Linked DNA regions of Elephas maximus indicus. The protein of the gene in region 2 interacts with the protein of the main gene of each other region in a pairwise test. Links are inferred from orthologs where the notes say so. Each region holds a gene or a part of one and is shown on either strand. Other genes may lie near its edges.

Region 1 (3,745 bases), on a different chromosome or scaffold from region 2:
AGGAGACCAATGTCTAGTGCCAGCCCTTGAAACCTGCCAGACCCAGGGTGAAGATAAGTGCCGAACAGAACCAGCCTCAGAACCAGTGCTCCAGGAGGAGAGGCTCAAGCCAGCCGTGGATGCTATAGAGGAGACAGGCCCCAGACCCCTAGCTTCCATTGTGAGGCCCAGTCATGGTCTGAAGAGAAAGCCAGTCAAGTAAGGGGGCTTTCAGAGGGAAGGGGCTGCAGGGATGGGAAGTGGGGCTCACACCCCAGCATTCCTAAAGCCTGCACTCCTGTAGGGCAGACCCTTATCCCCTGCCACCACCATCACTTCCCACCTCTTTTGTCCCTCAAGAGTCCTGTTAGAGAGCACCCAGAGAGAGGGAGCCTGAAGGTCTTGGAGGGGACTGAGCTCATATGCTCTGGGCCCCTGCTGGCCTGGGGGCCCTCACTGACCAGGAAAGTGGTAGGTATCTGGCCTGGGTGGTGGGCAGGCAGGGCTATCCCCTAGGCACGGGGCACAGGCTGGCTCCTCAGGCTTCCCGTCCATGGCTGTGGTCCCCCAGCCTCCCCAGGGGCTAGTCACCATGCCCATCCTAGGGCCGAAGCTGAGCTGCCATTGGGTCTGCTGCTGCAGAAGGGGGAGCCAGAAGGTAGCGAGCACTCACCATCCTCCAAACAGCACAAAAAACCTAAGAAGCGCAAGAGTCTGGGGGCCCCCGCACTCCCAGCTACAGTTAGCACCGTGTCTGCCTCCTCAGAGACCTTGGGGCTAGAGCGTGAGTGGCAGCCCTGGGCCTCCCCTTTCTCCCCTGCCTGCTGGTCCCCCTAAAACATGGCACAGCCTGGTGCTCCAGCCCTGCCCTATCCTGGGTCTTTTCAGGAAAGGCCCAGCGCCTTCGACCCCTGTACCAGTACATCAACTATTGCAACCCTGAGCTGAACCAGGCAGGGGAAGGGGGTAGGGAGGCAGAGGCCGAGGTGGAGCCCCAGTCGGAGCTGGCCCTGGTCCCCATGGAGGCGGGTGTGGAGCAACTGCAGGCCTTGCCGCCCGTGGCAGGTGAGCTGGGCTTAGACCTTGCTTTTCCCTGCCCCAAAATGTTAGTGCCTCCCACCCACATTCTGGATCCCCTGGCAGAGGAGGCTGGAGAGGAACCTGGGGGTCTGCCCAGCTTGGGGGTCAGCAGCCGGCTCACGGCCGAGGTGGATAAATCAAACCAGGTGGACATCAACAAGATGCTGAGTGTTTGTGCTGCTCCGCTTGTGCCCCCGCTCTCTCCTCAGTACAAGTGACTGTCCTGCCCCACTGGTGGCTCCCCTCCCCCCAAGCCTGAACCAGAGCAGCAGCCTCTGGGCCTAGGCCCTCAGGTGGAAGGTAGAATTGGCCCATGCCCCCACTTGCTGGAAACTTGGGCTTGCTGACAATAAACATTTTTTCATTTTCTGAGACTGCGAGATTACCCAGTGCCTGGTTTAAAGCCCAACGGATCATCTGAATACTTGGGAACTTGACAAAAATAGATTCCTGGGCACCACCCCAGATCTCACTGAATCAGAATCTGAGGGGTGGGGCCTGGATTCTATGCAGTTAAAAGCTCCTCAGGCTGACAGTGAGGGATCAAGGGGGAAGTGACTAAGGAGGGACTTGGAGCAGAGAAAGGGTCTGTGAGGCCACAGGAAATAGGGACTTGCCCTTGTTCCCTGTCTCCCAGGGAGGTGACCTGTATTTGGTCTGACTTGCATTTGTGGACCAGCACTTAGGAACCCCCCTCTGAGGTGGCACAGTTCATATGACTGTCTGAAGAGTGGCAGACTTTGGAACACTTTCCATTTGTTGCCAGGCCACAACTGGAACAGACCTTGCCCAAGGAGTGGCCTCTGGTGACAGCAGTGTCCATGCCTTTTTCCTGGCAGGAAGTGGTATAGGCAAGGAAGGATCTCAGCCTGACATTCTGGAGAGATTGCTTGGGCTTCAGTGTGAAGGACAGAATGAGGAGGAAGTTACTGGGGACAGGGAGGTGAGGAGGCTGTGATTGTCTAGGTGAGTACAAGGCCTAGATTTGGTTTGGAGTTGGATAGTAAGCAACAAGTATTTTGGAAGCGCTCACCTGGTTGCTGCTCCGAGAGAAAACTCTAAGAGGTTCAACGTATTTTCACTGGCCTGGTAAAACCTTGTTTACTTTGACCAGAGGAAGAGTTGGCTGACATCCTGATTTGGGAAATAGGTTCTGGGAGGTGGTGATGCCACCTTCCTCCAGTAGGGGCCACTGCAGGACAAGCCTGGAACCACAGTTGCAGGCTCAGTCACCCCTAGGGACCAGAACCCTGCTGGCTTCCTTGGCCACAGGCACGCATGTGCGCCATTTCAAAGCCCACCTCCTACTCCTCTGGTCATGGATCTAGGTTCTGGGGGTGTTTCCAGAGAACCAGGGGTGCTCATAAAAGTGGCCCCAGGGCATCTAGAAATCTGCCTTGGTAAACAAAGAGCTGGCGGCAGATTCCTCTAAAAACTTAAGTGCCATTCTGAGTCAACAACATGGCACTTTCTTGTGCAGAAGCATCTGAGTCAGGCCCAATGGATATCTGTTTTCTGGGTAAATCCCCAAATTTAGGAGGGACCTAGTAGGACACCAGGGGACAGACCTGGAGCTGTGACCATCATTCCCAGGAGCAGGGTGGGTAGACACTCACTCTTTAACTCTTCACTGTCAGCATCTTGCCTGGCAGTGGGGTCTCTGCAGTCCACCTCCTAGCTCAGGCCAGGCTGACTCCAGCTATAGGGAGAAGGCAACAATCTGGCTGAATACCCCAGTGGGAGTGGGGGCAGCAACATATGTGCAGTCAAGAGTCTGAGAATTCACCAGTGCTGGAGAAATGGGTAGTTCAGGGTTAGGCTCTGACTGGTCCTGACTGGGTCTTGGCTTCATCACTTATAGCTTATACAATGCAAGTAGTTTTGGCTTTCTGTGCCTCAATTTTCTGATCTGAACAATGGGAATATTAATAATACTACCTCATAGAGTTGTTTAGAGATTAAAATAAAGTACATGAAGTGTCTACCCTGGGAGGGCCCAGCATGCAGTGAACACAGTCCAACACTACTCATTGTTTTATCTCAAAAGGATAATAATTTGCAACCAGGACAATACAGGAAAACAAGCCTGGTGACTTCTATAAGGGGTGCCAAAAGGAAAAGGAAGCCCTCCTAAGCCTTTCTGGCAAGGAGCCAGGGCAGAGCAGAGAGGGAAGGTTAGAGAAGGGAACAGAGATTGGTCCAGGCTTAACAATCCTGGCAGGCTGTCAAAGCGAGACAAGAGAACAAAAGGGATTGAAGGACCTTCTCCCAATACTCACCCCACCTCTGACTTACATGGTAAAAATGACTATCCCTGTGTAGAACACAGTTCATAAAAGGCTGGCTGGTTAACTAGCTGGCTGGCCCAGGCAGCTTTCAGCTAAACCACTCCAAGGGCCAATGCATGGAGCCCTTCCTCTTCCAGCCCATTCCCTCCAGCTTCTCTGGAAGTACTCCTCACCTCCTCTCTTTTGAGATTCCCTTGGTGCCAACTCCAGGATTTGAAGAACAGAACTCCCTCCTGACCCCAAATTGTCTCCCTGTAACTGTGGGCCTCACAGGGCCTCCTCAGGGAGTCTTGAGTCCTGCTCTCTGAAGAAAGACGTTTGTTTGGAGGAATCTTAGGACTTGGCCATGAGGGCCACAGTGACAAGAGCAGGGCAGTGGCCAGGGCCGCCCCCTGGAA
Region 2 (3,745 bases):
CAGTTGGCTGCTAACCGAAAGGTTCAAACCCACCAGCCGCTCTATGGGGGAGAAAGATGTGACAGTCTGCTTCCCTAAAGGTGACAGCCTTGGAAGCCCTATGGGGCAGTTCCACTCTGTCCTGTAGGGTCGCTATGAGTTGGAGTTGACTCAATGGCAACAGGTTTGGTTATACTGTGTAAGAGTAATGTTGAACTACTCTGGTTTAAGTGATTGTTCACAGCATATTGATTTTAGAAATCACATTCCCAAAGAAGACATGCTTGTTTTATTTTCTTCTTTTAAGTATGAGTCCTTCAAATCTACATTTCTTTTTTTCCCCTCAAGTTCAATGGTTACCATGAAAAGGCATCATGATCATTTAATATTAACTAAATAATTTTCACTGTAGTTTAGAGCTGAAAAAATGGGTTTATACTGAATTGTAGAAACAGAAGATGTCTGGAAAAAAACTCCTGAGGATTATTCAGTATTAAAAAAAAAAGACTTGTTGCTATCGAGTTGATTCCGACTCATAGCAACCCTACAGGGCAGGGTAGAACTGCCCCACTGGGTTTCCAAGGCTGTTAATCTTTACAGAAGCTGACTGCCACCTCTTTCTCCTGCAGAGCCGCTGGTGGATTCCCACCTTTGACCTTCTGGTTAGCAGCCTAAGGTGCTTAACCACTGCACCACTCAGTATAGGCGTTAAGAATGTTTTCTCTGGAATGTGAAATGAAATTCTAGCTCCCCAAATAACAGTGTCTACTTCTACCTCTACCTCCATAGTGTTTTGGGGAGGATTAAGTGAGCATGTATGTTAAGGGTTTGCCAGTGCCCGACACATGTAAGTATTCTCCCAATTGACAGCTCCTTAGTAATTATGCCAAAAAGGGCCACTGGCTCCAAATTGAGGGCTGCTCTAAGGTTGCTCTCCCGAGGCAGCATCAGCAAGAAATCCAGCGCAGGCCAAACAGGAATGTGTTTTTAACTGAAAGCTGAACGGCAAATTGAAAAAGTAGGTGAAGTTAAAAAAAAAAAAGGTGCCTGCCATTTCACATTTCAGTCACTTCATTTGGTATCTGGTGAGCTATAAATAAACATTTAAAAAAAAATTAACACCCAACAGAAAAAAAAAGTAAACTGGGTGGTAAGACAGAGGGATAGGGTTTGGGCAATGACTACGACTTCTGAGCGCATGGGTTCAAAAACACTCCTGCACTACTGTAGGCAAGGCACTTAACTGTTTTGGCCTCTGTTTTCCTCATCTAGAAAATGGGAGTAACAAAAGTTCCTGCCTCGTAGAGTTACAGTGTGAACTAAACGAGAGCATGTCTGCAGAAGGCTTGCCACCGTTCCTGCCACAGGGTGGTCCCACCACTAACTGCAGCAGCTGACACTCAGCACTGGTCACTAGACGCGTGACTATTACCCCTAGACAGGGGCCGCAGGAAGTAAGGAGCCTGGAAAAGGTGGGTGGCACATTTTTCTGTGCCGCTTTCTGTCTCCGAGGACTGCGGGGAGGATTAAACGAATTAATCCATGGAGAGCGCTTTAAACTGCGCATGAGGCATACAGCGCACTCAGCGGCACTATTAGTGATTATTCCTATTATCACTGCGCAAAAAGCCCGGCCGTGGGTCCCTCGCACAGGCGTCCTCCCGCGCGCTGCGCGGGAACCCCCGGACTCCACGCAAGGCGAGCGCGAACCCTGCCGCCACCTAGGCAACTCTGTCACAGCTTCGCAGCCGGGAGAAGCCGCGAGCCTCCCAGCCCTCGGCGCCGCGGGGCGAGCGCCCCCCGCCAGACCACCGCCCGCCCGCGCACCCGCGCACCCGCGGCGACCTCGCCCTCACCTTGCTGCAGGTCCCGATGGTCGTACCACGGCTCATCCTCCTTCAGCTCGAACTCCTCCACCAGGTTCTCCGCCAGCATCTCGGCCGCGTCTTCCGGGGGCAGCGGTCCCCGCCGCCGTCCCGCCTCAGCCGCTGCCCCGGGCCCTCCGCCCTCAGCCAGAGCCGCCCTCCGGCGGGCGGGACCCGCCGCCGCCCCGGCCCCGCCGCGCCGCCGGAACAGAGCCACCCGCCGGCCTGCAGCGTACGCCTCGGATGGGCTTCTCGGCTGGCCTGCACCGCCCCGTGGCCCCAACGGCCGGCGCCCCGGCGCGAGCGGGGGCCCCGGCTGGCGCCCCAGCCGGCTCGCAGCGCCGCAGCCGAGCCCAACGTGGCACTTTGGCAGAACCCTCCCCGACCGGGGCTGCGATTCAAACCCCAGGCGGCGCCTCGGCCAATCGCAAGCTGGCAGCCGGTCGAGCGGCGGCGAGTTAGTCCAATCGGGTCTCACCAATTGCCCGCGGCTCGACCGGTCTCAAGGGCAAACAGCCAATGGCGCCTTCGGAAGAAACAAAGAAGGCGGGAAAAAGAGAAGGGGTGCGGCCGAGATGCCCCGCCCGCCACTCTGCGTAGTGGAGCTTCTGGGAGTAGTTGGGTCCCTGGAGGGGTTGGGGCGGCTGCTCCTGTGTGTGCGTCCGGCCGGCCAGTCAGCCAGTGGACGCGGCGGCCGAAGGGTGCTGGCAGGCTGCTTGGGCATGAGGGCGAGGAGTTTGGGCACTGAGCAGTGGGCGGTGGTCTGGCGCTGTCTTCATGCAGGCGGGAGGCGCGAAGGGGGCCGGGAGCCCCAGGTCCCTGCCTGGCCTGCCCGTTCTTGTCTTTTGTCTCCCAGGTTTGCCCTCGCTGGTGCGGGGAAATTAAGAGTCAATCGGGAATTTGAGGCCGAGGAAGATACCCTCGGAGTGTTAGCTGTTTTTTCCCTTAACGTCTGTGTACTCATCCCCACACCGCTGGGAATTTTACTGGCTCCCTGTAAAGCAGTACGTCCCAGCACCACTTGAGAATCTACTGGGCAAAGAGGTGCCGTTGGAGCTATCTCCTTAGGAAAAAAAAAAAAAAAATTACAGTTTGCATATGAATATAAAAGGTTAGTAGACCACTAGTTAAGCATCTGAGGTCATGACATTGCACCAGGAGGGGAGAGAATGCAGCCCTAGCACTAGTATGCTGGCAGGGCGTGGACGCTGTTCACACAGACATGCTGTAACAAGCAAGTGCTGCACAGGGGTTTTCGGCTGTTAGCATCATCATGTAGAGAAAGAACAGAAGCCCATACATATATAGGGTGACAGACCAGAAAGTCAGTGTTCATCAACCTTAATGTAAAAGTAAAAGGCACAGTTGAAAGAAGGAGGGAAAGACAGCGTCTGACAGAATGGAAGTCAACATACTATCTTATGTTTATGGAACAAAAATTGAGGTTTAAGTGTTTTATTCAAAGATTATCTCTAGAAGAACTTAAACCCAAAAAACCAAGCCCATTGCCGTACGGTTGATTCTGACTCATGGCAATCCCACGTGTTACAGAGAGAAGGGCTTCACAGGATTTTCTTGAGCGCGCTGGTGCTTTGCTAACAGCTTGGCTGCTAACCAAAAGGTTGGTAGTTCGAATCCACCAGTCGCTCCTTGGAAACCCTATGGGGCAGTGATACCCTGTACTACAGGGTCACTGTGCACACTTTACTGTGGTTAAAAAATAAGGGAAATTACGCGGAAGGAGTTAAAGATTCTCAAACTATGTTGTTGTCCTATACAAATGAATAAAGACTTCAGTAATTTCAATGAGGACAAAAACCCACCCTAAATATTCTTGTGGGTATTAAAATTTACTGTGTCTCTCCACCTTCCTATCTTTGCTCACATAGTGTAATCTCACG
Region 3 (3,745 bases), on a different chromosome or scaffold from region 2:
AGCTCCAAGGCGCTGACAGCCGTTTAGGGCCGGTGATAGAGGAGGCTAAAGAATGGGGCTGGGAAGTAGGGGCTTGGGTAGCGGGTGGCTGAGGCTCTGCCAGGCCCCAATGTGGAGGGCACGGCCTTTTACAGCCTCGTGGCGCACAGGGAAGTCGCTGCTTGACGCACACCAACCCGGGTGGGAGGAGTTGGGTGGGTTGGGTTGTCAGGTGGGTGGGGTTGTCGGGTGGGAGGAGTTGTTGAGTGTGGGAGGTGTTGTCGGGTGGGAGGAGTTGGGTGGGTTGGGTTGTCAGGTGGGTGGGGTTGTCGAGTGGGAGGAGGGGTTGGGTGGGTGGGGTTGCCGGGTGGGTGGGGTTGTCGGGTGGGAGGAGTTGTCGGGTGTGTGAGCAGACGGGGTGTGTGTGTAGTCGCTGCCGGGCACCCGCGCCTGTCGGGTGTGTGAGGAGACGGGGTGTGTGTGTGTGGTCGCTGCCGGGCACCCGCGCCTGTCGGGTGTGAGGAGACGGGGTGTGTGTGGTCGCTGCCGGGCACCCGCGCCTGTCGGGTGTGTGAGGAGACGGGGTGTGTGTGTGTGGTCGCTGCCGGGCACCCGCGCCTGTCGGGTGTGAGGAGACGGGGTGTGTGTGGTCGCTGCCGGGCACCCGCGCCTGTCGGGTGTGTGAGGAGACGGGGTGTGTGTGTGTGTGGTCTCTGCCGGGCACCCGCGCCTTCAGCCCCGCGGGAGCTCGGCGGCTGGGTGGCGTTGTCGGGTGTGTGAGGAGACGGGGTGTGTGTGTGTGTGGTCGCTGCCGGGCACCCGCCCCTTCAGCCCCGCCTGAGCTCGGCGGCTGGGTGGCGTTGTCGGGTGTGGGTGCAGACGGGGTGTGTGTGTGTGGTCGCTGCCGGGCACCCGCCCCTTCAACCCCGCGGGAGCTCACCGGCTGACGGCGGGCTCGCACAGCCACCATGCCTGTCACTCGTTGGTGGGCGGGCCAGGCACCGCCCACACTAGGCTTTTATTGGTCACTCATGAGCGGGCCAGCTAGCGGCCTCCTTCTGATTGGCCAGCTGCTGGTAGCGGTCAAGTCAATCAGAAGAGGACTTACGGCGCTCGTTGGGCTCCTCCGGCTCCCGGCGGAGCTGCGTGAGGTAGCCGCGGGGCCGACCTGGCTACCGTTCCGAAACAGCGGCCCTGCTCTACTCCTGCACCGCTGTCATCCCCTCCTAACACATTATTTCAATTAATAACAATAAAAATGCGCTGTTTCTTCACAAAACGAGTTGCTTCGCTAGCAGGATGCGAGCAGTGTGCATTCAAGCGGCGAGACGCCCGGAGGGGAGGCGGCGGCCTGTTCCTCCCGCTGACCTTCTGACCCGCTCAGCAGAACCAGCACCTACTCTCGCCGGCAGGCGGCGCGCCCGCGTCTCCCGGCGCGCGGCTGCTTTCCGTGAATTCTGGCCCCCCGCGGCCCCCGTAGCGTCTCTGATTACCGCGCCCCTGGTAACCGCCTGCCGCGAGCGAGCCGCCGGGGGCCGGGGGCCACACCAGCTTCCCCGTCCCGGGCCGGCGCGGGCGCTGAGGCCTTGGCGGGGCGGCGATGGACGCCTCGCATGAAGCGGCGGGGCTGGCGGCCTCCAGCCACCAAACCCCGATAAACCCCAACAGCGGGGTGCGGGTCGCCCGGTACAGAAGGGAAGACCTCATAGAGGCCCTGGCGGCGGCGGCGGCGGCCTTGGAGGAGGCGGAGCAGGAGAAGACGGTGCCGTCGGCGCGGGCGTCGGTACTGCGGGCTGGGTGCAGGGCGGGACGTGGGCTGGGTGCGGGCTGGGTGCGGGGCGGGACACGGGCTGGGGGCGAGGAAGGTGCGGGGCGGGACGCGGGCTCGGTGTGGGGCTGGACGCTGGCTGGCTGCGAGGAAGGTGCGGAGCGAGACGCTGGCTGGGTGCGGGCTCGGGCTGGTGTGGGTCCCCTTCCAGCTTAGGGACAGGCTGGGAAATGCGCTCCCCTGTCTAGATCTTCCTGGAAGGTAATTCTCTGCCCAGTGATCCTGGCCCACAACCTTCTCTCAGCCCCCACGAAAAACACCCAAAACCGAGGCTTCCAAAAAGTCTTTTAATTTTCACCAAAGAGGTTGCAGTAAAAGTTTCTAGAAATTATTTCTAGAAAGAGCAAAGCACAGAACTTTCCTCCTTATGCTTTGGTGTTCCTTGGGAACGGATACAGTATTTCCTTTAAAAAAAAGAATTTGAAACCTGTGTTAGTCATTTAGTGCTGCTGTAATAGAAATACCACAAGTGGATGGCTTTAACAAAGAGTTTATTCTCTCACAGTCCAGTAGGGTAGAAGGTCCTTGTCCTCAGTCTCCCCATGGTCGGGGAACTTCTCAGGCGCAGGGACCTGGTGTCCAAAAGAGGCGCTCTGCTGGTGCTGCTTTCTTGGTGGTATGAGGTCCCCAACTCTCTGCTTGCTTCTCTTTTCTCTTGAGAGATAAAAGGTGGTGCAGGCCCCACCCCAGGGGAACTCCCTTTACATTAGATCAGGGATGTGACTTGGTAAGGGTGTTACAATCCCACTCTAATCTTTTTAACATAATATTATAATCACAAAATGGAGGAGCACCACAGAATACTGGGAGTCATGGCCTAACCAAGTTGATACATACGTTTTGGGGGGAACATAATTCAATCCGTGACACTGATCTCCTCCCATGAAATTGAGTTGATGACCCATGAAAACTTAAGTGAATCAGCTAAGCTCTCAAGTGTGTTTGGTGGATCTTAAACACACTACTTTAGAGGCAGGAGTTTAAATCATCAAGAATTTAGTGGATAGACCAGACACAGATATAGATAAGACCAGAGAAATAAATTACTGAGGTGCCAGTGTTTCCTAAATGGCCTTCTGGATGGAGCAAGACAGCCTTTTCACTGATCAGTTTTCACTGTCACATGTGTCATGGACACCTGTCCACCAGGTGGAGGGCAGAGTCTGCCATCTGCTCTCTTCACTTAAAAGATGAGAACCTTGCAGATATAAAACTCTCCACCAGATAAATCCTTTTAATACTATATGTCTAAAGCTTCTCACACAAAAAACATTTTGGTGTAGGGCTGTTAGAAATCACTGGATACTTGGAATTCTGATGTCTTTACACTACAGCTGTTAATAAGAAATCTGTAGCAGCACCTTTTATGTTCAGTATTTCACCAACAGACATAAACTGCTTGAGGCTGTCCAGAGTTGGGCAGATCGAGACCCAGCACAGGATCAGAACACTAGGACCATATTTGCTCATGATAAAGCTTCCAGTCAACACAAGTTGCAGTAGGCAAGCAAGGGAATAGAGGAAGAAGACTAAATGGAGGACAAAGCTTTGGAGTTCTGGATTAGAGTTTGGGCTCTATCTCTTGCTAGATGATGCTAGGACTTAACTTCCTTAAGTCTCAGTTGCCTTATCTGTAAAAAGGACTAGTGTAATAATTCTCTCTCTCTCCTGTCTCAGTGACTGAGAACCAAATGAGAGAATGTGTGTCATATCTAAAGACATGCTTATATAAATTGGCAATCATAATAGCAACTACCCATGGGACTGTCATTGCAGTGACTCACCCAAAGATGAAATTTTGTTTTGGCTTTCTGTGGTAGAGGAGCTAGTCATTTCTCTGGCTGCACTTATACTTCCAGAGTGTCCTGATAAACTGTAAATTTGTATTAGAAACTGTTATTACCTTTGGAGAGTGGAGAGATTAGCTTACATGGTTCT

Evidence for each region.
Region 1: the proteins of CDR2 (region 2) and ENKD1 interact in binary tests that used the Homo sapiens proteins (3 or more experiments, as listed by UniProt). The two-hybrid records come from large-scale screens. The link is inferred for Elephas maximus indicus from reciprocal best matches to the Homo sapiens genes CDR2 and ENKD1.
Region 3: the proteins of CDR2 (region 2) and FAM161A interact in binary tests that used the Homo sapiens proteins (3 or more experiments, as listed by UniProt). The two-hybrid records come from large-scale screens. The link is inferred for Elephas maximus indicus from reciprocal best matches to the Homo sapiens genes CDR2 and FAM161A.

The regions. Positions count from the first base shown.
Region 1 is NC_064839.1:34,136,372-34,140,116, forward strand, and holds the start of ENKD1 (enkurin domain-containing protein 1), read right to left. Parts: upstream 2,690-3,745; 5' UTR 2,676-2,689; exon of another isoform or gene 1,278-2,675; coding exon of another isoform or gene 868-1,277; exon of another isoform or gene 764-867; coding exon of another isoform or gene 551-763; exon of another isoform or gene 207-550; coding exon of another isoform or gene 1-206. UniProt on the Homo sapiens protein: Microtubule-binding protein which regulates microtubule organization and stability. Promotes the stability of astral microtubules and facilitates the proper orientation of the mitotic spindle.
Region 2 is NC_064830.1:82,439,951-82,443,695, forward strand, and holds the start of CDR2 (cerebellar degeneration-related protein 2), read right to left. Parts: upstream 2,189-3,745; 5' UTR 1,915-2,188; coding exon 1,836-1,914; intron 1-1,835.
Region 3 is NC_064844.1:481,919-485,663, forward strand, and holds the start of FAM161A (protein FAM161A), read left to right. Parts: upstream 1-1,469; 5' UTR 1,470-1,579; coding exon 1,580-1,762; intron 1,763-3,745. UniProt on the Homo sapiens protein: Involved in ciliogenesis.